3 linked regions of the Rattus norvegicus genome follow. The protein of the gene in region 2 purifies or fractionates together with the protein of the main gene of each other region. This does not show direct contact. Links are inferred from orthologs where the notes say so. Each region holds a gene or a part of one and is shown on either strand. Other genes may lie near its edges.

Region 1 (3,653 bases), on a different chromosome or scaffold from region 2:
CTCTGGCTCCTTCCGTCTGCGTCACGCACGAAGCCTTATCAGAGACGCAGACACCGTGAGAGGCAGGTCAATGTGCAGGAAAAGTACGTACTTCCATTACAAGCTGGTGAGCACGGGACACCAGTGTGAGGCCGTTGGCATGGTTAAATGTTTCAGAAATGTCTTGTCCAAATGTGTAGCCAGCACCACGTGGAGAAATGCCCCAGCCACCACGGTCATCTGGATCTGACCATAAGAGATCACACATTGGGCCCTGGACAAGGATAAAGAACAAATATATACTATGAGTTGTGTTTAATTGAGTTACCCTTCCCACACGTGACTACACTTTTTCCCTTAAAATCAAAACCAACAAGTAACTGCCAAATTTACCTCATGTGGAACTTCCTGTAAGCGATCCAGGGCTCTTATGTGATCCAGTGTATCTATGGATGGAGAGAGGCCACCGTGGAGGCAGAATATCTGTTTTTTAAATTGAGAAAAACATGTTTTTGACTTGTAATTGCTAAATTAACGAACAGTAAGCAATGGTGACAAGCGTCGGCCATGACAGCCTTTCCTTCCCAATGGTATTACTGACGGGAAGATTTGTGAGCTACAGCGCAAAGCAGGATCAGGTCACCAGCAGTAACCACAGCGGCGAGTGCTGAGGGCTCTCCTTTCCCCCGCTGTGGTCCGGGGTCTGAGGCCTCTGCATGCAGTCCAGTGCCTCCAGAGTGGGGCTGCTGCTGCCCCAGCACAGGATGCTCACCACCGTCACTGCGTCCGCTCACACTCCTGTCTCTCAACATCAATCCTCCTGACTCTGGTATTGACTACAATGAGCTTTTTGGTGTTCCTCAGATTTCCTGAGCACATCCCCACATTCACACACTTTCTCTATAGAGCTTATCACCTTTAATTCCTTCCTCATTGTATGATGTGGAAGACATCTCACAGAGGTCGGGGCAACTGTTAGGGTTTTCTCTCCTTACACTTTACTCACTGGGTCACTTCTGCACACCGAACTGTAGTTTGCATGTATATGCAGACCTGTTAGTGGGTGCACACAGATGTGCAGGCCTAAGGTTGGTAGTGGATGTCCCTCTTTGATCCCTCCACCTTCCTCACCAAGGCAGGGTCTCTTGCTTGAAAGCTTGCTGCTGGGGTTGGGGATTTAGCTCAGTGGTAGAGCGCTTGCCTAGCAAGCGCAAGGCCCTGAGTTCGGTTCCCAGCTCCGAAATAAAAAAAAAAAATAAAAAAATAAAAAAAAAAAAGAAAGCTTGCTGCTGTGGCTAGCTCACTCCAGGAATCCCATCTCCAGGAGAGGGGTCACAGGCGGGCACCGTGCCCTCCATGGCTGCTAGGTATCTAGGCACCAATCTTCATGGTTGCAAACAAGTACTTGATGTGTTTACAAATTAGGAAGAAGGTGTTGGTCACCCTCGGCCACCTCCCCAGTTGTCTTCCGTTCCTTTTATTGTAGACAGTGCACCTACAGGACTCTGACATAAAGTGGGATGATATAAGCGTTTTAAATTTTTTCTCAGAACTACCCTCTGTTCAAGGACTAGACTAAGGAAGAGAATAACGAGGATTTTCGTGAGCAGCTCATTGGCAGGGGCAATGTATGTGCTATGGATGTAGCCCAGGCTAACTTAGGCGTCAGCAGTTCTTCCCAGAGCTCCTGAATGGGTCTACGTGAGCACATCAGCCTTTTCTCCTGAGTCTGACGAGGTTTCTCATGCTTCCCTAATAGACAAGACTGTTAATGGATCTTCTAAAACATTTAGCACTATATGATTCTTAACTGAATTTTAAATCACTGATATAGGACACCCTCCCCACCAAAATCGGTTTCACTTTATCTTTCTGTGCCTGCGGTATCTGGTTGGCTACTGAACTTATATAGATAAAACATATGGCCACGGAAGCTCTGAAACCCGAGTGCTGGGATCATAGTCGCACATCATGTCTATCTGTGAGGATTTTCAAGTTTTCCATTTTTTCCCACCAGCTCCATGCTCCTTAAAGCCCCATATACTTGGCCTACAGACATATTTAAGGAGGCTGGCAGATGGCTCAGCACATGACAACTTCATTTTGCCGTAGGCCAACCTCCCTCGCTCCCCTGCAAATAAATGTATCAAAAATAAAATCTCCTAAACCCAAACCTAACAAAGCAGACCTGGTTCTAGATGGCTTGCAGTCAAGGCTTGCCACGCAGGGACTGGAGCCCAGCACCATGTAAGAAGCCGGGCACACAGCACTGCATGGAGGCTCAGTGCTGGGAAGCTGGAGACATAAGGGCGGCTCTGGCCAGGCTATCTACACGAATCAGTGAAAAACCCGTCTCACCAATCAACATGTACATCAACTGAGTTAGGACAGCAACCTCCAGCCGCCATAGGCTCGTCTGCACACACGTGCACATACAATAGGCAGATCTGATTGCTAGGTACCCATATACTGAACACCACGTGTGACCTAAGCTTGTCATTCCCTTCCAGGACTCTGTGCACCACTTGTTCTATCTACTTCATTTCTGAGGTGTTTGTGTCTTCCAGTGATAACACTTCATAAATGATAGCCTGTCACAATGGTGTGTGTATGCTGGCTGTTTTGTTTCTTATAAATACTTCAAAAACAGTAAAGACTAATGAGTTTGGAGAATGCTGGATAGTATAAGAAATACATAAGAGTTCTACCAATGTATGGACCAAGTTTAAAAATCAGATAGATGACTAATACTACTGTTATCTTTCTAAATTAATTTCATTACTTTAAAGCTAAAAGACTTTACTTCAATTACTTGAAAAATTTTAATAACTTTCATTCACATTAGCAAGTATAGGTAAAGTATTGTCATTTTAATTATTACAGTATCCAAAATTATACTCAGACTAGCAAGCCAAAGAGTATCCATTACACCTTCAAGAGTGCTGTGCTTTCATGGTTTCTCTGTGCAGCTGTCAGTCCTGGAACTAACTCTAGCCCAGGGAGGCCTTGAATTCAGAGATCCATTGTCTCTGCTGCCTGAGTGCAGGGATTAAAGACCTGCTAACATTCAAGTTTTATTCTGTGTGTTGTACATGAATTTAAATCAGCTCACTGTGCAGCCTCTAAATGGTGAACTAGGAAACCTGTGTAATGTCTTATATGTATGCCTTAAAACTTACTATGCTGGAAACAGAGATCCCTCTTGATAAAAAAGATATAATATACAATATTATGTTTGTAGTTATCATGAAAATAGGAATAAAAAGCTACTAATGGTAACCAGGGAACGTAGTAATATGGGCACAATTTCCAATTACATCTTGTGTTACTAATAATATATATGCCCCAAGACTTAAGCATTTATTTACACTGTTTTTGTTTTGTTTTGTTTTGTTTTGTTTTTTAGAGCACACATTAGGGCACACATCTTCTTTGGCCAGAAGACCAGAGGCAGGGGAAGCAGGGCTTGGTGACTGAAGCCTAGAACCCCAGCTACTTGGGAACATAAGGCAGGAGAGTTGAGCTGTGCTGAGAGTACGGTCAAGTCTGAGCCTGAGCAATTGAGTGAGACTCCCTCCAAAATAGGCATACACAAAACCCAAAACCCACCACCGCCAAACCAACCAAATCATGAACGGGGCTGTAGCCCAGGGGCAGCGCCCTGGCTTGGCACC
Region 2 (3,635 bases):
AGTATCCAAGTTGGAAAGCTTACAAGCACAAAATAAATGAAAAAAAAAACAATAACAACAAACAAACAAAACACCACCAATCTGGGCTGAGCATATTAAACCAGCCTAAGGTGAGTGAGTAGGGGGAGCTGGTATGCAAGGCCAGGGCTGGTCAAGGTAAGTGCTGTCAGGAATGGGTCTTCCATCCATTGGTCGTATCGTGTGCCCTTATTACTAACATGGGTTTGAGTCTTAAACATAGGGCAGATGAAATCATTCTGTAGGTACTTATCCTTACTGACACTGGATTAGCACAGCCCAGAGAGAAGACCCCAAGGATATTAGAAAACTGTACACTCATTACAGTTTACAAACATCTTTAACTTACCCAGACAGGAAGAGCCTCTTGGTGGGATCTGCTGTGGCAGATGAGAACCCAGGTTCCAGACCAGCCTGAACCCCAAGTTGGGGGCTGTTGGGGCCCAAAGACATTTCAGCCATTGCCTCTGACACCTCACTGTTGGTCCTGACTTGCTTATTTTCAAGTCTTGCTATTGCAGCAGGAGATGCCAAGCCACTTTCTACTACACCTTTACTTGAAGCCAGTATCTTATCCTCTAGTTCCCTATTTTTATTTGGTGTCTCGAAAAGGTTATCTCCTAGACTTTGCAAATTCAGTTTATCAAACTCTTGAGTCAAAATAGAAACAGGTGGTGGAAGGGCCTCCTCTCCATTGGTGGCCTCTGTTTCCCTTCCATCTGCAGTCCTGCTGTTCAGAGGATAACAAAACCCATTTCTGCTGTTATCTGGGTAAAATCCAACTGCGGCTTCTCCAGGGTCCGCCTTCTGTCCCAAGGAAGGGGAACCACTTTTGGAGTTTTGGAATTTGTCGACTGAGGGCTGACTCTGACTTGGAACTGTATTTTGCTGATTTTTAACTTCTTCCAAGCTAATGTCATCACCCCCATCTAGAAACGCTCCCACGGAGATGGAGTTGCTGTACTTCTTTCCACTGCCTGTAAGGCAACAACACTGCATGTCAGTGTTCAGGATGAGACTATAACCCTAACCCTACAACTCGAGCAAGAAATGACTGCACTGGGTTAGGCTTTGAGACAAGGACCACGTGGCCAGTTACCCTCAAGTTGGTTTGATAAGGTTCTAGAAATACTATGTAGAAGAAGCTCGTGAAAAATTACTTCATGGGGCCAGGAGAAAAGGCTGAGCGGTTAAGGGCACTGACTGCTCTTCCAGAGGTCCTGAGTCCAATTCCACACGGTGGCTCACAACCATCTATAGTAGAATCCAATGCCCTCCTCTGCTCTGTCTGAAGACAGTGACAGCGCACTTACATAAAACTAATCTTTAAAAAATAAATATAAAATAAAACTACCTCATGAAATATCAACAACTTGAGAGTAACACTGAAGTCAGTTGCTATAAGAGAATTCTTCAACATTAACTAATTGCTTATAGTCAAGTCAAGCACATAAAGATGCATCCTGACACTGACTGCCAGCCTGGGGCAGCTTCTTCCATAGCCCACGGACATAGCCTTTTCTCCAGCAGACTCAAGGTTGCTTCTCAGACTCATTTTTAATTTGGTATGACGTGTGTCTACATACATAACATGTGCTGTGTGTGTGTAGGCAGTGGCATGAAACTAGAAGTCATGAGTACTTTGTGGGGTTCTCTCCTTCCACCTTTATGTGGGTTCTAGGGATAGAACCTGGTCACCAGGCATCTGTAGCGAGTGCTTCTACTTGCTATGCCACCTCAAGGAACCAATTTCTACTTACATATATCATATTCTCCCTCCTTCCCTACATTGTTACAGAAAATTTAATTTGTAGGTCAGTACTTCAATTTTAACTTAGAAAGCTTTAAATGACATTAATTTCTATTTTGGGGAAATCAAAGCTGCAGTTATCCCTGGCTCCTCTAGAACCCACTTTGCAGACAAGGCTGGTTTCCATCTCAGAGATCCTCCTACCTGTGCTGGGATTAAAGGGTGAACCACCAGGGCCTGCCTGTTCCATTTTATTTTTGAGACAGGGTGTCTATACTTTATTCCTGGATTGCCTCTTCTTGCATAGATTAGGTTGGCCATATCCTTCCTGCCTCCTGACCTCAGTTCTGGGCATTCACTAGCACACCCGTGTGTGAGGGGCCTCATCCAGCTGGCCAGCCTGGCCTCTAACCTTCCGTGGAGCTGCAGTTTTCAATGCACTGATCTCCTTCCCAGCCCCTCTTACTCTTAGATGCTAATGCTATAGACACTGCTATACTGGGCTAAGACCACTATCTTTAGTTGGACTCATAACACAGTTTTATTTTTGACATAGAATAAAGAGCTGCTAGACCAACAGCAACCCTAAGCTGTTTCTTCAGGGAGGGCGGTGCTCTACGTTGCAAGAACAGAAGTGCAGGAGTGAGGGGAGTTTAGCTAGAGGACATATCTACAGTGAAGACTCTTGACTTTCCAGCTTGTTTCCAATGTGCTGTCAAATTTACTAGGTTTGTTTCATTTTAGTTTTAATTACAAAAATGATAATATGTTAGTTGGAAAACATTGAAGTGAGATGTAACTCTAATGTTGCTATAATCATCTTAATATTTTGAAAATTAGGAGGTTCTGACAGAGCCCTACTGATACAGATGAGGATGGTTACAGCTAACCATTGGATTGAACAAGGGGACCCTGGTGGAGGAGTTAAGAGAGAAAGCTGAAGGAGTGGAAGGGGTTTGCAACCCCATAGGAAGAACAACAATATCAACCAATCAGATGACCCCCCTCCCCCAGAGCTCCCAGGGACTAAACCACCAACCAATGAGTACACATGGAGGGACCCATGACTCCAGCCACATGTGTAGCGGAAGATGTCATTGTCCAGCATCAGTAGAAAGAAAAGCCCTTGGTCCTGTGAAGGCTTGTTCCCCAATGTAGGGGAATGCCAGGGCATTAGTTTGGAGTGGGTGGGTGGGCATGGGAGCATCCTCATAGAAGCAAGAGGAGCGGGAGGGGAAAGGGAGTAAAGGGGATAACATTTAAAATTTAAATACATAAAATATCCAAGAAAAATAAAATTATTAAATTTTTTAAAATCATAAAAACATTTTGAAAACTAACATTATGTAAATATAAAGTTTTTTTCTACATTAATGACTGATTATTCTACATCACTCATTCTAATTGTTTACATCATTCACTACTTTAAAGAATTTTAAAGCATAATTTTATTTAAAGCCATGATTTTTCTGCTCAAGGATAGAACTATTTACTTCCTCAGCCAATCCTCAACTGTAGGTGAGGGTCCCTCAACTATATGCTTGAACACTGGACTAAGCCAACGGTCTGTCCAGAGCCCGGACAGCACATTTATTTTCTGGGAAACTCTCCACGTTGGCATAGAGGTTTAAGGTGTTTCTTTAAAACATTTTTTTAAAATATATTTTATTACGTGAGTGTTTTGCTTGCTTGTGTGTCATGTGCATTTCGTGTGCCCTGTGCCAGCAGAGGTAGAGGGTGTGGGAGCCTCTGGAACTGGAGTTGTAGGTGGCAGTGAACCACCACGCACGTGGGTGCTGGGAACTGAACTCGGGTCCTCTCCAAAAGCAGCAAGTATTTTTACCTGCAGAGCCATTTCTCCAGTCCC
Region 3 (3,653 bases), on a different chromosome or scaffold from region 2:
TGGAAGAACAGTCAGTGCTCTTAAACTCTGAGCCATCTTTCCAGCCCCTCAGCTAGTTTCTTGAGGGAAAGTCAACAAACTTAGTTTTCTAGAGACAAAAGCCCCAGACTGGACATGTTCAACAGCTGTGTTGTTGCTGTTCTTGAATCTGGAAGTGTGAAGTCGGGGTATCAATAGCCTTGGTCCTGGTTTCTTCTGAGGCTGCTCTTTTTGGCGCTATTATGGCAAGTCCAAGGTAGAGAATGCTAGAATGCTTTACATTCCACTGGAGGTCAGTGTTTCCTTCAGCAAAGGCAGGGAGGGGGTTGGGGGAAACACACACACACACACACACACACACACACACACACACACACCTACCTTTGAGTTTGGGCAGTATGCTTTGTTTCCCTGACATTTCATTCATTCACATTCCATTCTGGCTCTGGCAGGAGCTGGAGCACACCAAATCTAGTCTTGGGCACAGGTGATCAAAGGTAGAAAAGAATTTCCTGGTTGAAGACATAACTCCTGAAAGTGAGTTCCTGCATATTTAAAGTTTTACTGAACATCCTGTGTTGCATTTATCTATGTGGTCTTTGTCCCTGTTGAGAGGAACCCAAAATTGAGGTTACAGCAGTTGTGCTACTCAGTTACCATCCCACACCTAGCATGGGCCAGAAAAGGCAGATATGGTGTTTGGACTTATTCTGCTCACCAGGTAGATGATGATTAGGAATGGCAGGTTGGGAGATAGGGGTGCTGACAGTGAGGAAGCTGAGTGGTTTTGCTTATTGGAAGCTTGGGTTACTGGTTCGGCTTGAGTTTTTAATGGGCTTGGTCTTTGACCCACAGATACCATCTATGATGAAGATGAGGTCCTCTTGGCTTTGGCTGAACAGCTGGGAACCTTCACCACTTTGGTGGGAGGACCCGAGTATGTGCACTGTCTGCTGGTGAGTGAAAGCTGCGAAGTTTCTTAATCCTCTTTTCTGCCTTGGGGTTAGAATGGTGGTCCAAGAAGCAGAGGATTTAGGAAGGCTGGATGTGACCTCAGAATGGATTACCTTTGGATGTAACTTTCACTCAAGTCAGTAGTGTCATTTAATCTATAGTCGCCATCCATTCTGCAAACTTAACCACACTAGGACCCTGTGGCATTCCACCCATAGGATTTTGAGTTTGGGTCGGGCCAGGTTCTATTATTTACTGGTATGACTTTAAGAGTACTATAGTAAGTATTCACAATTAGATTTTGTGGTTGTCATGGTTGTGTAAGATATGTTATCTACCAGTTTGGGTTGCAAGGTTCACTTGATGGCTGAACCACCTAGAGTACCAGTAGGTTAAGCCATCTCTCATCAGGGACTCTTAGCTAGTAATCATGCATTGTCAAGATTGTTTGCTTGATTGCACCAGGCTATACCATACCTTGCCGTACTGCACCGTACCATACCATACTATACCAAACCATCTGTGTATCTCTGTTGAGTGACAGCTAGAAACACCAACAGAATCCGATCCTGACAGGACCTGCTAGGTACGGAAGGATAACCAAGTGATCTTTTAGATCTTGGCTGTTAGCAGCTTAGGCAAATTGCATAACCTATATACTTCCAATTCCTGCTCTTTGATTAATGAGGATAGTATCAAAACTGTTTTACAAGACTCACATAGAAGGAGTTTTGATCAAAAAAAGGTGAGCAATACAGTATCTGAAACCTAGGTCATGGGTATTAGAGCCGCATCATTAGTGTTTATTGTATATTGAGAGCCACACACACACATGGGCCTCTTAAGAGATCCTTGTAGGAAGCTTGTTATCACAAGCATGGGGCTGGGGAGATAAGAGGAGTCTCCCTCCAGTCAGGCCATGAGGTAGGGTTCCACAACTGAAACAGTAAGAAAAACACTGGTCTCTAACCTTCTGTTCTCATCACAGCCACCTCTTGAGTCACTGGCCACAGTGGAAGAGACAGTAGTGCGAGACAAGGCGGTAGAATCCTTGCGGGCCATCTCTCATGAGCACTCACCTTCCGATCTAGAGGCTCACTTTGTGCCTCTGGTGAAGCGGCTGGCGGGTGGAGACTGGTTCACCTCCCGTACCTCAGCCTGTGGTCTCTTCTCAGTTTGCTACCCCCGAGTATCCAGTGCCGTGAAGGCAGAACTTCGACAGTGAGTTCTCATTCCCATCACTTTACCTAAACCCTCCTCTAAGCCTAATGTCCTTGATGTCTCCCTACTCCCTCCCTGCTCCTAGCTCTCTTCAAAGAGGCTTGTCCTTCACAGTGATCATTGGACACCATACCTCAGCATCGAATTTTCCTTTTCTGCCTTCATGGAAATTTATTCCTACCATTAGTTATACCTGTGGGCTTGGAGCAGAATACAATACAACAAATAGTATCTAGTGTTATCTCCAGCCTGCCCCAGGTTTAGACCCCTCATTTGATAACTGCCTTGTTGTTCAGACCTAATAAGCCAAAGTTTCTGAGTTGTCACTTCATACAACTGGGTTAAAGCCACATATATATATATATATGCACGTGCTGTATGTCTCCATTAGTTCTTAGGAGGCAATTGCTCCTGAAATGGTAGACGAGTCATTTGCATTTTAAACAGTTGTTAGTACTGTGTTGTACTCTTTGACTGAGACCTCAAGTCAGCTTTGTGGGGACTTGCTACTGCCATTGGTCAATTTATAGAGCTGAGAAGACAAAGAGGTCATGAATTGTACAAAGTCACCATTGTCAGCACCAGAATTTACTGCAGACCCAGCAGTGCTCTGTGCTGTGCTGTTCTGTGCTGTGCTATACTGTGACACCAGCTGGTAGGGCTTTCCAGGATTCCAACTCTGGGCCTCCATCCAATTCCAGGTACTTCCGGAACCTGTGCTCAGATGATACCCCCATGGTGCGGCGGGCCGCTGCCTCCAAGCTGGGGGAGTTTGCCAAGGTACTGGAGCTGGACAATGTCAAGAGTGAGATCATTCCCATGTTCTCTAACCTGGCCTCTGACGAGCAGGTAAGCCAGTCACCAACTCTCACCATGCCCTTGCTAGCTGAGGAAGGAATGCACCCTTAAGGCTCAGTGGGCCTCTGCTTCCCTGCCCCTCCCTGTGTTTTCCCAGGACTCGGTGCGGCTGCTGGCAGTAGAGGCATGCGTGAATATCGCCCAGCTTCTGCCCCAGGAGGACCTGGAGGCCTTAGTGATGCCCACCTTGCGACAGGCTGCTGAGGACAAGTCTTGGCGTGTCCGCTACATGGTGGCAGACAAATTCACAGAGGTAAGTTGGCATAGTTCCACAGATGGGAACACTGAAGCTTTCTGAGGGGAGGAGGGAGCAACATATAGGAGATGACATGCTTTATTTTTTAGGACAGCAGTCCGTCCTGAGTCTTAATGGGCAACCGAATCATCTCCCAGAGCCAGTCCTTGTGGGTGATTTGAATCAAAGTGCTGTAATGAGAATGATTTTGAAGCCAAGTTTCAATTCCATGAAAGCATTTTTCCTGAACTCACAACTTCCCTAAGAAAGACACAGCCCCAGTAATAGTTGTCATCAACCACATGTTAGTCAGATCAGGGACAAGTGCTCTTTGTGCCAAGATCCAAATTTTCTTAGCCAAGAGCATGTTGGTTTGTTGTTGTTTTTCCCCTTGTTAATACTGAGA

Evidence for each region.
Region 1: the proteins of Ankle2 (region 2) and Ppp2cb purify together in Homo sapiens (affinity purification with mass spectrometry; 4 studies listed by BioGRID and IntAct, counting the BioPlex papers as one, with this or other methods). This does not show direct contact. The link is inferred for Rattus norvegicus from reciprocal best matches to the Homo sapiens genes ANKLE2 and PPP2CB.
Region 3: the proteins of Ankle2 (region 2) and Ppp2r1a purify together in Homo sapiens (affinity purification with mass spectrometry; 7 studies listed by BioGRID and IntAct, with this or other methods). This does not show direct contact. The link is inferred for Rattus norvegicus from reciprocal best matches to the Homo sapiens genes ANKLE2 and PPP2R1A.

The regions. Positions count from the first base shown.
Region 1 is NC_086034.1:65,265,355-65,269,007, forward strand, and holds part of Ppp2cb (serine/threonine-protein phosphatase 2A catalytic subunit beta isoform), read right to left. Parts: intron 463-3,653; coding exon 373-462; intron 254-372; coding exon 92-253; intron 1-91.
Region 2 is NC_086030.1:52,080,807-52,084,441, forward strand, and holds part of Ankle2 (ankyrin repeat and LEM domain-containing protein 2), read right to left. Parts: intron 996-3,635; coding exon 368-995; intron 1-367. UniProt on the Homo sapiens protein: Involved in mitotic nuclear envelope reassembly by promoting dephosphorylation of BAF/BANF1 during mitotic exit.
Region 3 is NC_086019.1:69,219,657-69,223,309, forward strand, and holds part of Ppp2r1a (serine/threonine-protein phosphatase 2A 65 kDa regulatory subunit A alpha isoform), read left to right. Parts: intron 1-834; coding exon 835-935; intron 936-1,921; coding exon 1,922-2,154; intron 2,155-2,855; coding exon 2,856-3,003; intron 3,004-3,109; coding exon 3,110-3,265; intron 3,266-3,653. UniProt on the Homo sapiens protein: The PR65 subunit of protein phosphatase 2A serves as a scaffolding molecule to coordinate the assembly of the catalytic subunit and a variable regulatory B subunit.